4 linked regions of the Drosophila melanogaster genome follow. The protein of the gene in region 4 interacts with the protein of the main gene of each other region in a pairwise test. Each region holds a gene or a part of one and is shown on either strand. Other genes may lie near its edges.

The links.
Region 1: the proteins of RpL40 (region 4) and Sap47 interact in a two-hybrid assay, tested with the Drosophila melanogaster proteins (one large-scale study listed by BioGRID).
Region 2: the proteins of RpL40 (region 4) and Smyd5 interact in a two-hybrid assay, tested with the Drosophila melanogaster proteins (one large-scale study listed by BioGRID).
Region 3: the proteins of RpL40 (region 4) and CG3847 interact in a two-hybrid assay, tested with the Drosophila melanogaster proteins (one large-scale study listed by BioGRID).

What each region holds. Positions count from the first base shown.
Region 1 is NT_033777.3:15,933,578-15,938,181, forward strand, and holds the start of Sap47 (Synapse-associated protein 47kD), read left to right. Parts: upstream 1-1,541; 5' UTR 1,542-2,007; exon of another isoform or gene 2,008-2,253; 5' UTR 2,254-2,548; coding exon 2,549-2,763; intron 2,764-4,604. Other genes in the region: CG5478 (uncharacterized protein), read right to left, coding at 1-109; blp (black pearl), read left to right, coding at 575-737, 798-1,060.
Region 2 is NT_033777.3:21,216,715-21,220,757, forward strand, and holds Smyd5 (SET and MYND domain containing, class 5), read right to left. Parts: upstream 2,078-4,043; 5' UTR 1,995-2,077; coding exon 1,959-1,994; intron 1,905-1,958; coding exon 1,290-1,904; intron 1,235-1,289; coding exon 1,057-1,234; intron 998-1,056; coding exon 645-997; 3' UTR 554-644; downstream 1-553. Other genes in the region: Oga (O-GlcNAcase), read left to right, coding at 2,508-2,742, 2,795-3,554, 3,616-3,840, 3,903-4,043.
Region 3 is NC_004354.4:6,345,322-6,349,784, forward strand, and holds CG3847 (uncharacterized protein), read left to right. Parts: upstream 1-1,781; 5' UTR 1,782-2,183; coding exon 2,184-3,326; 3' UTR 3,327-3,915; downstream 3,916-4,463. Other genes in the region: ND-B16.6 (NADH dehydrogenase (ubiquinone) B16.6 subunit), read right to left, coding at 4,375-4,463.
Region 4 is NT_033779.5:4,225,903-4,229,100, reverse strand, and holds RpL40 (ribosomal protein L40), read right to left. Parts: upstream 1,403-3,198; 5' UTR 1,294-1,402; intron 1,090-1,293; 5' UTR 1,077-1,089; coding exon 690-1,076; 3' UTR 540-689; downstream 1-539. Other genes in the region: CG3702 (uncharacterized protein), read left to right, coding at 2,213-2,254, 2,334-3,198.

The sequences.
Region 1 (4,604 bases), on a different chromosome or scaffold from region 4:
AGCGAAAATGCCGTATTTGTCGTTGTAGCGACTTCGTCTGATTCTGATCATTCAAATGCTCGCGGACCAGACGGTCGTAGTCCTTTTTCCAGTTCGGTTCCTGAATCATTGGCTTAACTAGGGAATTTCGAATTTTTAAAAACGATAACTGACAAATGCTATCGATGACAAAGTAGTCGTGGTAAAAATATTTAAATAATTGGTTTTAAAAATATTTCGATTCTCGATGATATAGCTATTATATATATCGATAGCTAATTATGAAAGCCGTGTACCATCTCCAATCAGCTGTTTCACCTGCTTTTCGCCGCCTGCTCGTTAGTAAATATCTGGAGTAAAAGCTAAAATTTACCTGGTAGCTCAATACAATTATAAATCACATTCGAAATTAAGTGTTAAAAGTTACGTATGCATTTTTTTAGAAGGACGCCTTTTAAATAGTACAATTGGAACACGGAGGGTCACTACGGTGTTGCGTAATTAAAGCGACACGTTTTCTGAGACCCAAAATTAAGCTGTACACATAGAATGCCGGTGTTTTGACGTACGAATCCAAGGAATACAAGAAACCGTCATGGCCAAGTATATCGCCCAGATCATCGTGTTGGGCGCCCAGGCAGTGGGAAGAGCCTTTACCAAGGCGCTGCGCCAGGAGATCGCCGCATCTCAGGAAGCAGCACGACGGGCGGGTGGTGGCAAGCAGGGCGACAAGAGCGCCGAGTCCAACCTGCGCACAGGTGAGTCTTGGACACAGTCATGCTATCTATTTCACTATTTACACCTACTTATCAATGCAGGCATGACGCTGGAGGAAGCCAAGCAGATCCTGAATATAGATGACCCCAAAAACGTGGACGCTATCACCAAGAACTACGAGCATCTGTTTCAAGTCAACGAACGCTCCAAAGGCGGCTCCTTCTATATCCAGTCAAAGGTTTTCCGGGCGAAAGAGCGGCTGGACCATGAGATTAAGGCCCATGAGCAGCCGAGGTCGTCAAATACGGAAGCAGCGCAAGATACGGCGGAGGAGTCTCAGAGCAGATCGCGGCAGCGACGCTGAGTATCCTTGTTGTCCCAATCGAACTAATTAGCTGATAATTGATTTAAAAACTACGTGTTAAGTACAAAAAATGAAAGTCTGTTGCTGTAAATAGAGATTTACGAACATGAAGACAAGTGTAAACACTTTCTGAGAAGAGCTCGACTTTCCAGGAACACAAATGTAATGGAATTCTTGTAAACTAACACGGATTAGCTCAGGCGGTTAGGTATAAATATTTTACTCTCAGGCCAGGTAACTAGAATCGGATCGATTTTAAGATCACGCTTCTTGGGGTTTGAAAATAAAAATATTTTAAGTATCAACAAAGTTCCATGTCTTGATCTAGCTATAGCTAAAATTATGCTGATGTAAATAAACTAATGCTGCAATGGGCTTCCAAACTTTCGCAATAGGAACTTGGAAATTTTAAAATCAGCTGTTGCAGAAGCCAGAGATGCGCGAACATATCGGTAGAGCTATCGACCGACAGCAGTCAGCTGTTCGATGGGCAGCACTGGCCGAGAACAAACCGAAAATAATCATTACTGGTGCGCAGTTGTTGTTTCCATAGACGTGTCAATTGTTTGTCTAATTGCGCCAGCAGCAGCAAAACGACGCCAAAGCACACATGCGCATTCCAGCGCACAAATATCCCACCCACGAAAATCGCAATACCATCGCCCCAGCAACGCGGAGGAGGGGGTGGACTCCACTTTTCCAGGGAGAAAGCGAACGTACGCATACGAGAATCCGAATCTGAGAATCCCCAATCCCCGAGTCCAAGAGAGCGAAGACGACACTCCAGCTCGGTATTTGAGACATCGACATTCCGCTGCTCCGTCAGTTTTCAGAGGACCTTCGAAGTGGGCAGCCGAAAATCCAAAAGTCTCCTGGCAGCGAACGGAAAACCAAAGAGAAAAAAAATAAGAAAAGCAAAATCCAGTTGGCAGAGAAAAGCTCAAGTGGTAATTGGCTGCGACTCAAATTACTTTAGTTGTGCAAATAGCGAATAGCTATAAACCCAAAAAGAAAAGAAACTCGAGCGTGGCGTGTGTCCATGTGGAAAATCGATCGAATCGCAGAGTATTTATCGTGTAATTGTGCCCAATAGCCACGCAATTCCCAGTCCGTTTTATTGATTTTCCCCACCGCCTCGCCAAGTAGCAATAAAAACCATTCTTTTACCTTCCATCTCGGCCATCTGGACAAAGCAATTGCAGCGTGAAAAATTCAAATTTCAAGTTAAATGCGAGAATTTACATAACGCCGAGCGTTGAAAGTGAAACTTCTGTGGTGCGAACGAAACACTGAAAGAAAGGAAAACCCATTACAGGACATTCTATCTGCCTCTGCCCAGTGTAGTAAAAGTTGGAGAGCCAGGAGCGGGAGAGCAGTGGAAAACCGTGAGAACCGCGAGAACAAGAGAGCCTAGAGAGCGTTGAACGTGCGCACGTCTTCCTGGTCAGGACACACCACCAATCCTTGAGAGAAACAGCAGGAGCCAACATGTTTTCGGGCCTAACAAATCAATTCACCTCGCTGGTGGGCGCCGTTAAAGGAGGCGCTGGCGACGAGGATGTGCCCGCGCCCACAGGAGATGCGCCCGCAGCCGCTCCAGCAGCATCCACATCCGTGGAGGCCACGGCCTCCTCCGCCGTGGACCCGGAGGCAGCTGCCGCAGCCGGTGGCGAAGGACTCGAGGGCGAGGAAGCTGGCAAAAGGTAAGTGTGAATCGAACAATGCGCGCTGGGTAATCCTTCGGCCCATCTTTCTAGTCTTCCGTGACTGTGACTCCGAAATCCAGACTTCAGTCGACCTGACATGGCGTGCCAATGTGACCTTGCTATTTGTACCTTTTAACATTTCGCTCCGTGGAGTTCCTACCCTCCAGCAATCGCTCCTTTACGGTACATTCATCATTGTTTTGACACACTCCGCTTATCCTGCATTTTACGTTGCATTCCGCACGCTCTCACGTGACTGAACATAATTGCTTAAACTGGAATCCAAATGCCCGATAATTTCACTCCCATATATATCCTATATGGCTCCGCTTCCTTGCGAAGCTAGTCGACTGACTTTCCTGAACATTTCTGGCTAGCAATTTCGATTTGAAAATGCCAGGCCAATTTGTGGTTTAAATGGATTTCGTTTGATTATTCTTGAAATGGCAAATCGCATTGTGAAGACTGTATTTCTTTTTAATTGTTGAAATATTTGAATCGTTATAGAATATAGCATAAATCAGTCTTCAAAAGAGTCTCTCAGCTTGGCATATATGTATTACTTAGTATGGTAGACTGTCAGTAGTGTAATTCTCCAAGCGAATTTATTTGCCCTAATTTTGTTGACCAAAGGAAATTCCTTGAACTGTCAGCAAACGGAAAAGAGCAACTCCATGCTTACTAACTTCCGACTGGTTTCTTTTCTTTTACTTCCCTCAAACTGAGTGGATAGGACTGCCCTATTTCTTTTCGACCTCGCCGTATCATTTGACCTCGTCCTTCGCGCTTCTTCTGGGTACTTCATCAATCTCTAGCAGGCATTCCACACCCTAGTTATGTTGAGTTTGCTTTATCCCACAAGAGTGTTACTGCCGTTTCAGCCTTCATTTCCTCGAAATAAATGAAAGTAAATTCCAATTATTCGGCTGATATTTTGGACAAGTTAAGACCGCTGTGATGGCCCGTTAATGCCACAAGTTGCTGGCTAATCCGGAAGATCAGCCAAAGTCAACTAACGTTGTTTTTCACTTAATTCAGCTCATTAATATTTAATTGTGCGAGTGTGCGCTGGATGCCAGGATGTCAATCCGGGGCACGTTTTTCCAACCAGCTGCCAACAGCTGGTGTCGTCGTGGTCGTCGTCGTCGTTGTTGTCTTTGAAACCCAAGTCCGTGATGTGTCACGCCTTTTCAACGGGCCGCCGTTCTCCTTCTGCCCCGCAAGTCCTTTCACTATCAATTGACATTGACGAGTTGGACCACCTTCGTGTTGTTCTTTGTATCTCGTCTTTATTTTACTCTTTTTGTTTTCTGTACGTTCCAATGAAAATAATTTGCACGTGGCTCCTGCATAACCACAAAATGTTGAGTCATTCGAGCTGGCGGCGCCCTCGTCCGCTTTCACCACTCGTACACTCTGGTTTTTTGACCATCTTGCTGTGTGCGAAATACTGTCACCAATGCCGATGGGTAGAGGTGGAGCATTCGGAAGGGGGCTGGCTCGGAGGCAGGATGTGTTCCTTTTGGTGGTTGCTTTCCAGTTTCCAGTTGACTTTTGCTCGTTTTGCGGATCGATACGAGAGAGCCGTGCGAAAGGACGCTCTATGCTTCTCTCTGCGAAATGTGCACATGTGATGAGGCCACAACGAGTAGAAACGACGATGGCGCCCGCTCTAGAGGATTTGCTACTCCACGACCCGACCCGCCCCCTTGTTGTCCTTTTGTCAGCCTATTTAATAATTGTGCATTCAGAAAACGTGTGTGCTGGCTTGTTGCCTGTCTTTACGCCTGTGCCTGTGCCCCTGCCACTGTCCTTTTCATTTCCTCGCTCGCCAATCA
Region 2 (4,043 bases), on a different chromosome or scaffold from region 4:
ATTTACCCTGGACAGCCCGCTTCCAGGTGTGAGGAATTTGGTCCAGTGTGTTTTTTGTGTTTAGTTTACTTTGTATATTGCGTCAGAATTCTTTTTGCTTTGTACTATATAAAGTATAGTTTTCTGATTGGTCTGTATTGTTATTTTCGAAATTGACTTTCAAACGGGAAACCAAATAAGTATAGCTTCAGTGAAAATGGTACTTTCTGCAAGAACGATAATAGCGTTTCAGTTCGGCGATATAAAAAAAATGATAATAGTAGGGGAGCCGGGTGAACCTCGCCCCCTTACTATAAACGACATAAAGAACGTGGTTCGCGCCAAATTTGGGATAGTGAACTTCGTTTTGCTTAATAAAGAACTGGATTATGTCATACCGGACGAAGATCTGCTCCAGTACCTTGGCCTGATGACACGTTTCTGCAATTTTGTCATAGAGGTGAGGGAAGTCCCCCTGGATAACGGTGTGCATGAGCTTTTAGCGCCTAATGTACCTTCCCCGGCAGCAACAAATTGAAAAAAGACGGCCACACGTACATTAACAAGCACACTTGTACACTTCTTCAAAATCTTTAACATAAATATATTTTACAATATGTACGTACATAAGAGCTTTTTAATGAAATAAAAAATTAATTCTTAGTTTAGTTCATGTCGTCATCATCGTCGTAGTCGTCCATTTCGTCGTCGTCATCGTCATCTTCGCTGGTCTCGTCGGGATCGGACGCCTGGGCGCGGCACTTGGGGCACTGGCAGATGAACACGTAGTTCTCGCGCAAGACCTTGTGCCTCGAGTGGCGACTACGCTCCAGCATGCATTCGTCCAGGTAGGAGATGCAGATCTCTTCGCCCTGTTGAATGGGAGCCAAGGCCTTGAGCACGACAATGTCGTTGGAATAGGGAAATGTGGAGCAGGCATTCGGCACGCAACTGTGGTTGATTTTGCTCTGCAGCAGGTATAGTCCAGAGCCCTCGTTATTCAAGAATTCGCCAGCAACTGTCGGGGCGATGTTGATATGGATAATTGGCTAACAAGGTGATCTGAGAAATAATTACATTCTCCGACTTTGGCGTACAGTCCGTCGATGACCGTGTCGAGCTGTTCCTTTTCCGAATCCGTTAGTGGTAGATCGGACACCTTGGCAACCCACTGGGAAAGCACGCTTGTTGCAATTCCCTGGCTGTTAGTTCCCAGAATGGCCATCAATGTCTTGAAAGCATCCGGTGTTTTGAACTGGAAAACAAAAGATGTATTCGCGTTTTAACGCACTCTGTAAGGATATGCATACTATGGAGAACTCCTCGCCCGTGAAAGCATTGCAGAACGCAAGATACAACTGCTCCATCTGCTGCTCAAAGTTCTCGCCCAGCATTTTGTGATAGATCTTCTGCTCGCGATTCACAATCAGCGACTGGAAGGACTGCAATTGCTCGAGGAACTCCTCCTTCTTGGTGCTCTGCTGGTAAAGAGCCATCAGGCGGACAATCAGCATTATGCTACCCGTCTCGGGCGGATAGTGCATCTTTTTCCAAGTCTCATTCAGTACATTGATGGGATGTGTGTCGTCGGAGTGGAAGGCGCCCATGCAAGCCACGCGGTGGTAGCGCTTCTGCGCCTCCATTAGGCAGTCCTCGGAGCAGTAGCGCACCTTGCACCGTGGGCACTGGGTGAACTGGGCCACCCACTGGGCGGTGGGATCGTGTTGAAGCAGCGGCACCTCCACTTTGGGATCACTGGCCAGGCGGCGCACATTCTCTAACACCGTCTCCAGTGGCCGCATGCAGTGGTCACACGCCGCATAGCCGTAGGCCACGTTCCACGAGAACTGCCGGGACACGAACGGTTCCTCCTCGAAGATCACCTCGTCCTTCGCGAAATTTTTGGTCGCGATCATCGCACGTCCCTGATGAATTTTTTAATGTATTCAGGGATAGTATGGTGACGGGACTTGACCTACCTTGCCGGGCAACTCCCGAATTTCAAAATTATTCATTGTTTACTCGGCTTTTTGGCTTTGTTTTTGCCAATCCAATTGCACGTGTAGTGCAGTGTGGCCGCACCCTCGAGCACGAATATAAAATACTATGGTATTTAAGCCGTTAAGGTTTCCTATAAAATATTTAAAGTTTAATTTCATAAACTTTTCCTTCCGGGCTAAAATCAAGTAATGGGTCATGAAGATGCAACTTATTCAATTAGTTTCTTCATAGATCTAAAAAAACTATAGTCAGTGCCTGATTAGTTGGGTTGATATTTTTTAGATGCAATTCAAAGATTCGTGTAGCTCAAACAACAGGGTGCACCTTGTGTATTTATAAAACCAATTCTAACCGAAATTGACTGAACATGGTTATTGCGATGTCAGTATATCGATGTCTTGAGCTATCGATAGCACAAGGTGCAATTGTCCGAACCAAACGATATACAAATCCTGAGAAGAGAGGAGAAAAGAAAGACTTATTTGGTCCTCGCAAATTGCCACATCCGATTCCCCGGCCTACTAGAAATGGCAGACGAAGCGGGCAGCCAAGCCGATGGCAAGCGGCAGTTTATCTGCGGCGTGATCGAGGGATTCTACGGCCGGCCGTGGACCACGGAGCAGCGCAAGGACCTGTTCCGCAAGCTGAAATCCATGGGCATGGGGTCCAGTCCTTCGTACATGTACGCACCAAAGGACGACTACAAGCACCGCGCCTACTGGCGAGAGCTATACACCGTTGAGGAGGCGGATCACCTTTCCAGTAAATAACCTTTGAACTCAGCTAGTCCTTTTGTTAAGTGCCTTCCATGCAGGTCTCATTGCAGCGGCCAAGGAGGCGGGCATCACCTTTTACTACGCGTTATCGCCCGGACTGGACATGACCTACAGCAGCCCCAAGGAGATCGCAACGTTGAAGCGCAAGCTGGACCAGGTTGCGCAGTTTGGGTGTGAGGCCTACGCCCTGCTCTTTGACGACATCGAGTCGGAGCTCTCAAAGGCGGACAAGGAGGTCTTTCAGACGTTTGCTAACGCGCACGTGTCGGTGACCAACGAGATATACACGCATCTGGGCAGCCCCAGGTTTCTCTTCTGCCCCACCCAGTACTGTGCCTCGCGAGCGGTGCCAACGGTCCAGGAATCGGAGTACCTCAATACCCTGGGCTCCAAGCTGAACAACGAGATCGATATTTTGTGGACGGGGGATAAGGTTATCTCCAAGAACATATCCCTTGAGTCGATTCAAGAGATTACCGAGGTGCTGCGCCGTCCGCCGTGCATCTGGGACAATCTTCATGCCAACGACTACGACCAGAAGCGAATCTTCATGGGACCGTACAGCGGTCGATCGCCGGAGCTTATTCCCCACCTGCGTGGTGTTATGACCAATCCCAACTGCGAATTCTATGGCAATTTTGTTGCCATCCATTCGCTGGCCTTCTGGTCGCGCTGCAGCCTGGACTCGAAAGTGAACAGCTCGCTAAGTGCAGACATAAAACTGGAGACTGAAAACGATGATGACCTACCGGCGGAGTTTCTCTCTAAGAACGTTTACCACCCACGCTTGGCTCTCAAGTGAGTAAAACTAGGTAAATAACGCAAGAAAAGCTAACGAATCATTTAAATCATCTTTAAGAAACGCTATAACGGAGTGGCTACCGGAGTTCTTCATGAAAAAGGAGGCCTGGGGACCGATCACCAAGCCCCAGCCTCAAGTCCAAATGGTGATGCCCATTATTCCCATCATACCCTCCATAAATACCTGCATGAGTCTCACCACCACCACAACCACATCGACGAGCTCCAGGACGGTTCCACCCACGGTCAACACCACTCAACTTCAAGCTCTGGCTGACGTTTGGTAACAAGAGTTTAATTTTATATATAAACAGCTGTATATCAATATTTATATTTTCATTACAGCGTTGTTACCTCTTCCCTGACTCCTATCTCAAATCCAGTAATGAACTCCCTGGTCTCACCCACAAAAGTGATCACGAACGATGACATCATCAATCCCATTCCGACCACAGCGGCCAGCAACATTGAACTACCCAAGAAAAT
Region 3 (4,463 bases), on a different chromosome or scaffold from region 4:
GGATTATATTCTTTGGATACTTAAAGTAGCCATAACATTGATAAGCCAAACTGAGACCTTCTCAAAAGCACGTTTTCGGATAAAATGGGTATTCAACCCAGTGTTTTCCTTCAGACTTGAAATTCAAATGGATGGGACGATGGAAGATTCGGGAAACTTGTGCTTACGTAAGTATACACTTCGCGTATGTATGTATTGCCATAGCATCTCGATAAGTTTACTGTAGAAATTTGTAGAACTGCAAAGTTTCACTGGAAGTACACGATAAGCCGAAACTATAACCTACCACAATATCCTTATCAGTGAATGCAATACATGTTCCTTTGACAAAAAAAACACGTCATATTTGTACGATTCAAAGGCACCTATTCTTGGTAGTAACTAACTAAAAATCCACCACATTCAACTTGAGATTCCCCATAACTCTTGATGTAAAATAAAAACACAATATGAAGTATAACCTTCTTTTTAAGCCGTAATTTATTCTGATGCAATTGGTGAGTGGCACCCGTTCATCTAAATGAAAACGTGATTGCCACGTTGGGCTCAATCGGTCACATTTTCCCATTTACATACATACATCTATCTACAAATGTACTTTTTACCCACTCCAGAGATCAGAAATTGATGATTGGATGGGCAGCGGAACCCCCATGTAGTAATAAATACAGAACTTTGAAATTTTGTACCCTCCACTGACGCAATTGACTTGGGATACTTTGATTGCAATCTTGGTGCTCAAGTGATGGTGCGTCATTAACCCTTTTCCACTTCATGTTACTATTTTTGTTTACTCAGATACTTTAGAACCTTCAATGCCGGTATCTTTGAACTAAATCTAGATGATTGTTCTATCTGATTTCACAATAATATTAAATATTAAATATTATAATCAGTTTTAGTATACAAATTCGAAAGGTATTCAAAAGTCTTGTATTCTTTTCGAAATAATGCAATGTAGGATAAATACAGTAGTTAGAGGGTTAACGAAGCAAAAACTTTCCATTCATGGGAATTCGTTGAATGATCTTCAATTGGCAATCGGCTAAGTCAGTTACGAGCTTTTCCGACAGCGCCGATCGCTCGTCAATCGGCGATAATTGGTTCAAGGTCGTTTTTGGAGGTGTGGGGGTAGGGGGGCGTAAAGAAGTGACACGTCCGCTAATAGAAATGCCATGAAAAACAAAAGAAACTCTAAGTGCAATTCCACATATAGCAGCACTAATTTTAGATTCGCTGAGGCGCTGGCAAATTTTTTAATGACCATTGAGCAGCCGAAAGCAGAAATTGCTTGGCGACGTGACAAATGCAGTGGCGAAAATAATCTCGCCCATTTCCCTGACATCTTCCTCACGACAGGGCACGTCTTGATGTCTTGAAATCGTTGAAAATACAGTGGGATATGGGGCTAAAGGGGGTTCACCCAGCAGTAGTTTCACTTAGATACATATCACAGGCATTAAATGATCGGTTTGATACACATCCATTATATTTTCTACATACGAATACATCCCAATAAAAATAAAAACGTACTTTGACAAGAAAGTACATCTAGAATTTAATTTTTTTGTATTTTTTTAAATTCAAAAATACGTTGAGATCAGCGTTCAAAATGCGCGCCAAGCGGCCGGCGCTGCCAGCTTGTCGGAAGCTACCGATAACAGCGCCGATTACAGTGCCGATAGGCGGCGGTCATCGGGAAATACCAAATGCGAGAAACGCACTAAAAAATCGCTGACGCGGCGGGCCAGACCGCATGCAGCTCCACTTCCAGTGTCCACCATCTTGGCCGAAGTTGCCACAAAAGTAGAATCGTGACGGACGGCAAATAATTGCAAAACGCATAGTGTTGACTATTGTGGAAAAAACCCAGAGCGAAAGGCCGCCAAAAAGAAGTTGGCAATAAAGCAGGCGGGGATTGAGTACCGAATCCAGCTGGGCCATAAGGTGCTCGAATTTGATTTCAATATTAATTCCAGCCGTGCGAAAGAGACAGCGCGTCAGCCGAGTGCGAGAGGGAGAAGCAAAAGCAAAGGCAAAGGCAGAGGCAAAGCAGGGTTGTCGCCGGGAAAAAATCATATTGTTAAAGTAGGAAAATCAAAGGCTACTGTGAAATCTTCAGATCTTCAGATTTTGCCAAAACAGGTCGTAAGTGATCAAAACTTATTCAAAGCCAACTCGATATGAATGCCAAGCGCGTGAAGTATTCCATGGTGAAGGAGGAGATCGTGCCCGTGCTTATCGAGCAAGATACCGAGGTTGATCCCGAGGAGGAGCCCGAGGAGGATGAGGAGCACGTTCAAGAAGATGACGGCCAGGAGACGCAATATACGTATGCCTATACCACCGGCGACGACGATGACACCGAAACTGCGGTGGTGACCCTCAGCGATCGTGACCACGAGGCGCTGGTCAATGCCGAGGAGGTGATTATCGATGAGAACGGTCACGCGGTGACCCTGCAGGAGCTGGTCGAGAACAGCACCGTCGAGGAGGAGACCATCGAACAGGGCGATGGTACACACACCATCCTTCATATTGTGCCCAATATTCATGGCGAGGAGGTCGAGGAGGATGAAGAGCTCGAGGATGGCGAGGAGGTAGAGCATGACGATGAGTTTGTCACCGTCGACCACGAGGGCGGCGAATTGGAGGTTGAAGATGACGAGGTGGGCTCTATTGTGTTCGAGAGTACCATCGACCATGCCGAACAAGATCCGTATGGTCGCAACAAGACCTTCTACTGTCCCAATTGCGGCAATTGCTACAGCGCCGCCGGCTCCCTGAAGCTTCATATGCGCGCCTGCCTGCGGCAGAGGAACGAGATCTCCACCGATGAACGCAAGTGCAAAGTGTGCAGCAAGGTCTTCAACTCGGTTGCCTACCTCAAGGAGCATATGATGCGGCACACGGGCGAGCAGCCCTTCCGCTGCACCCGCTGCTATCGCAAGTTCGTCGAGGAGAGCAAATTTACCGCCCACATGGAGTCGCACAAGCACCAGGACAAGCTCGAGGCCGAAGCGGTGGCCCTGGCCGCCCAGCACGGCGGCAAGAAGGTGGTCGTCAAGGAGTTCCAGTGCGCCTTCTGCTCGCAGAACTTCACCGTCGTCTTCGATGTTGGCCAGGTGAAGAGACGCTATGCCTGCGACGCCTGCCGCGATAAGTACTCTAATGCGGAGGCACTGCGGCAGCACAAGCAGCAGGTGGAGGAGAAGCGCGAGTTCAGCTGCGTACGTTGCGGCCGCAAGTTCGTTTTCGAGGGCTTCCTACAGCGCCATCTGCCCACCTGCGATGGCAGCATCAAGCGTCGAAGGGACATGAAGTAGAGGCGGCCACAACGTGATGAGCACTGGCGGCGTCGGCAGCAGCTGGAGCCGGAGCGTGATGAGCAGAAATCGCCGCCGCCAGTGCGTTACGTTGTTATCAAGCAGGAGTACGTAGATTAGGAGCAGTAGGATTAGCTGGAGCACGAGCTAGTTTCTAATGATTCGCCCATGCAAAACTCGGACACTAGCCGCCCGGGCCAGGAGAAAGGAGCAGCTGCTGTTTATCTACACGCAAACATAAGTCCACACCCATATTGTATTTTTTGGGAGCCACAACGGGGGCCACTGTCGTCAAGCGATTCCAAAGGAAAGGGTTTATCTTTTACCTAGTTGTACACAAATCCACACACACAGTTGTTTTTTTTTTTATATGATTTCAGGCCAACTCTGCGGTTTACAATTGAAGATAAAAGCATGTCGACGGATGTCGATCATGGCCCATGTATAGATATATATTACTTACTTATAATTACGACTACTTAATGTTAGAGCTCACGATCACCCGCTATTGTGTAATAACCCGAAACTCCAAATACTGACACACAAAACGAGCGTCAAATCGATGTTGAATTCAATAAAAAATAAAAATAAAATAAATCAAGAATGTTTTTCAATGGCTCAAGATTTCTTCATTGCTATTTTAATAATCCCTATTGAATCATAAGCATTTCGTAGTGTTTTATGTTGTGAATTTATTATTTTTACTAAGCAGCAGATTTTCAATTAGATTTTAATTTGGTGACACAGCCAACTGGGATTCCCCGCTGTTGGTGCCACCAAATCCATCTAATTTGGCCATTTTTGAGCACTGCCCGTGGGCTATATTGCAGCTGGACGGCAACGCCCCCGGTTTGGTAAAAATCTCTGGCTACCTCGGGTGGTCCAGCACAGGATTTGGATTAAACACACACAAAGAGAATCGGTATTTCAGCCAATCTGATCTGACATTATAATTGGTCGATACTTTCTTTTTTTGGCGCTTAGGCGGATGATCTACAAACAAAAAGGTGCGTGCTTAGGCATTAACTAATCCATTAACTAGGCCGATTTAGGACCAGAGCTTCAAGTGGGCACGCTTGGCGTACGACTTCCAGTCGGAGTGGGCGTAGAACTCCTTGAAAATGGGCGTGACCAGGG
Region 4 (3,198 bases):
CTGCTCTTCTCGGTTTCCCGCTTGTTATCATGTCCTGCCTATCAGGCAGGCCCTTTGGGTCGTCACCAGCCAGTTCTTGGGTTATTAAGATATTCATAATAAGAGCCTCCGCGGGGCCAACGACCAAGTGCTAGCATGGATTAGAGCGCCAACAACCAGTTTACCAGTTGGCCACGGAAGCCGTTGCGCGCCTTAGTCGGCGGTCAATGAAACCAATTAACTGTACTCGAAGTGGACTTGGCTTAGCTTGGCCAAGTAGGTCTGCTCGACCATCCGCGGCGTACTAGCCAGCCAGTCCCCTTGTTTCCCTTGGGCAGAAGAGTAGACCGCAAGGGTCTGGTATCGCTGGCAGATGGAATATCAATTACCTGCTGCTGTCGCCCGCTTCCTGGTGGCGAGACAGAACCAGAAACAGAGCAGAAAAACTAACTGAGATCTCGGAGAGGCCAACTAATTGCAGTATAAGAGCTTCCTAAAACCGCAGAAACTCGTTCTTCGGAGACCACAAACGAAAACAGATGACAGGAAAACAGAAACATACACGGTGTAAATAGGCTGTGCCTTGGCAGCAAATGCAATACATTTCGATTAGATGTGGTTTCACAAAATGTACATATATTTACTTAGATGGTTAACCATGGTTTTGTCGATAGAAAGACCAGCCTGGACCGTCGACGGATGATCATAGTCTACTTCAACTTCTTCTTGGGGCGCAGGTTGTTGGTGTGTCCGCACTTCTTCTTGCGGCAGTTGGTGGCACGAGGATGCAGACGGGCGTAGCACTTGCGGCAGATCATCTTGTCGCAGTTGTACTTCTGGGCCAGAATCCTGAGCGAGGGCTCAATGATACCACCACGCAGGCGGAGCACCAAGTGCAGGGTGGACTCCTTCTGAATGTTGTAGTCGGACAGAGTGCGGCCATCCTCCAGCTGCTTGCCGGCGAAGATCAGACGCTGCTGATCTGGGGGAATGCCCTCCTTATCCTGGATCTTAGCCTTGACATTCTCGATGGTGTCAGAAGGCTCCACCTCCAAGGTGATGGTCTTGCCGGTGAGGGTTTTCACGAAGATCTGCATAATGGCGGCGTCACTGAAAGCAATATAAAACATAAATCAGTACCAAATCGTACGATTTCTTAGCGAACTTGTGCGTCCCAAAGAGCGGGCAAAGATTGGAGGTTAGGTCCGACTTGCTGGCATGTTTCGTTCGACAGAAACAGCTCCACCGGTCGACAAGCACCAGTGTCCATCTTTTTCATATCACAAATACGTCACTAAACAACAATATGTTTACATTCTGCCACGTTATTGCGATTTTTCGTTTATTTTTAATATATTTAATGGAAACTCACCAGAGGAAACGTGCAACCAAATGCTATTCAAAAGAAAAAGGGAAAAGAGAGTGTGGCCGCCGCCGAGCACTGCAAATATACCAAAATACTATTTTTTAAATACCAAAACATTCTAAATGGAACTGTAAAAAATATTCAGACACTCAAATTAATTAATGCAAAATATCTTTACCATTTGAACCGAGACCAACTTTACAATATCAACATATAGTTTTTCGTGTTTTTTTATAGCCCAACGCTACCTCACTGATAGCTAAGCTAATTCAAAATTATATTATTATGGCATGAAAATGCTATTTGCATTGTATACAAATAAATTGAAATCAAAACTTGTATATAGAATTATATTTTAGATAAGGTTCAAATATTACATATTACGCATATTTTTTTTTATTGAAAAACCGCCTAATCGATTTAAATTATATTTTTAATGAATTTATGAAATATTTTTTCAGATATTAAACCTTTTGAATTTATACAAAAATATTCAAGTTGCTGTCCATTTTACTAAGAACAATAATTGAATACTAGGTTGTATAAGTATAAGTAAGTAAGTAAGTATAAGTAAGTAAGGGATATACATTTAAGCCAACGATATTCTAAAAATGTGTATTGCTAAATATGTCACATATAATAAATAAATTTGTATTTGACTTAGTGAAAAAAGTATGTCTTTATAGTGAGAACACCGTGCTTTTCCATTCTGCGTCAAATCGATAGATTCTGAAAAATACCCCTTTCGATATCGAAGTTCTAATGGCTCGATAGGTCCTCAACACTTACCTATCGATGACAGTAGCACAAGTTGTGCGGAAAACGGGAAACTAAGGGAAAAGCGTGGAAAACCCTTGAGAACAGAGCATGTCGAAAGCAGGCGAAGATCAGCCCGCAGCAGAGGGTGCGGTAAGTATCTGAGAAACTTAAACCTTTCTCAACCCCAATCACCTGACAATAGCGACCTGGTTCTCATCGTTTTTTCTAGGTGATTGCGGGCAATGGTAACGCTGAGCTGGCCCAAAATGAAGGCCAGAATGAGCAACAACAACCCCCGCCGAATCAGCCCACCCGCATGGAGTCCTTCTTTGCGATGACCAAGTCCCTCATCCTGCGTGCCCTGATCATCTACTTTGTGAGCTCCTTTTTCCGACGACCTGCGCCCGATGCCGCCAGTCAAGGCAAAAGTGTCGCTAATGCGGGTCCCAAGATCACGGCCTGGAATTACTTCGAGAACGGCACGGACTTTGACCTGCACGTGTGGTTGTCGGAGAATCCCGATGTGGTTAACTTCCAGCAAAAGGCGAATCTCCTCTGGCTACAGAAGGACCTCACCTATGGCGATTGGACGTCGGGCGTCAACGGAGATGGCATTTACACGCACAGTTTGAAGCTTAAGACCAGCCAGCATCTGATGAACAATGGCAGTGTGTACCTACATGCCTTTGTCACGCGTACCGGCATGAGTCCCGATCCCAAAGCCCCGAATTACGCCACCAAAATGGGCCACCAGCAACATCAGCTGAACAAGTTCAAGAAGTTGCGTGTGAACCGCAACTACAACTTGCTGGCCAGCGAGAAGGAGAAGTTGGAGCACGAGCTCAAGCATGCGAATCTCAAGGATACCATCGTGTCTCACTGGCATCCTAATCTCACGGTCAATCTCGTAGTGGACCAAACTAACTGGGCCGAGGGATCTGTGCCGCCGCCACTGGATGACTACGTAAAGTTCGTAGACGGCGGTAAGACCTATCTGCCCATCCTGTTCGTCAACGACTACTGGAATCTTCAGCGGGAGTATCAACCCATTAATGAGACCACTCCCGAACTGGAGCTGCACCTCACTTTCCAGC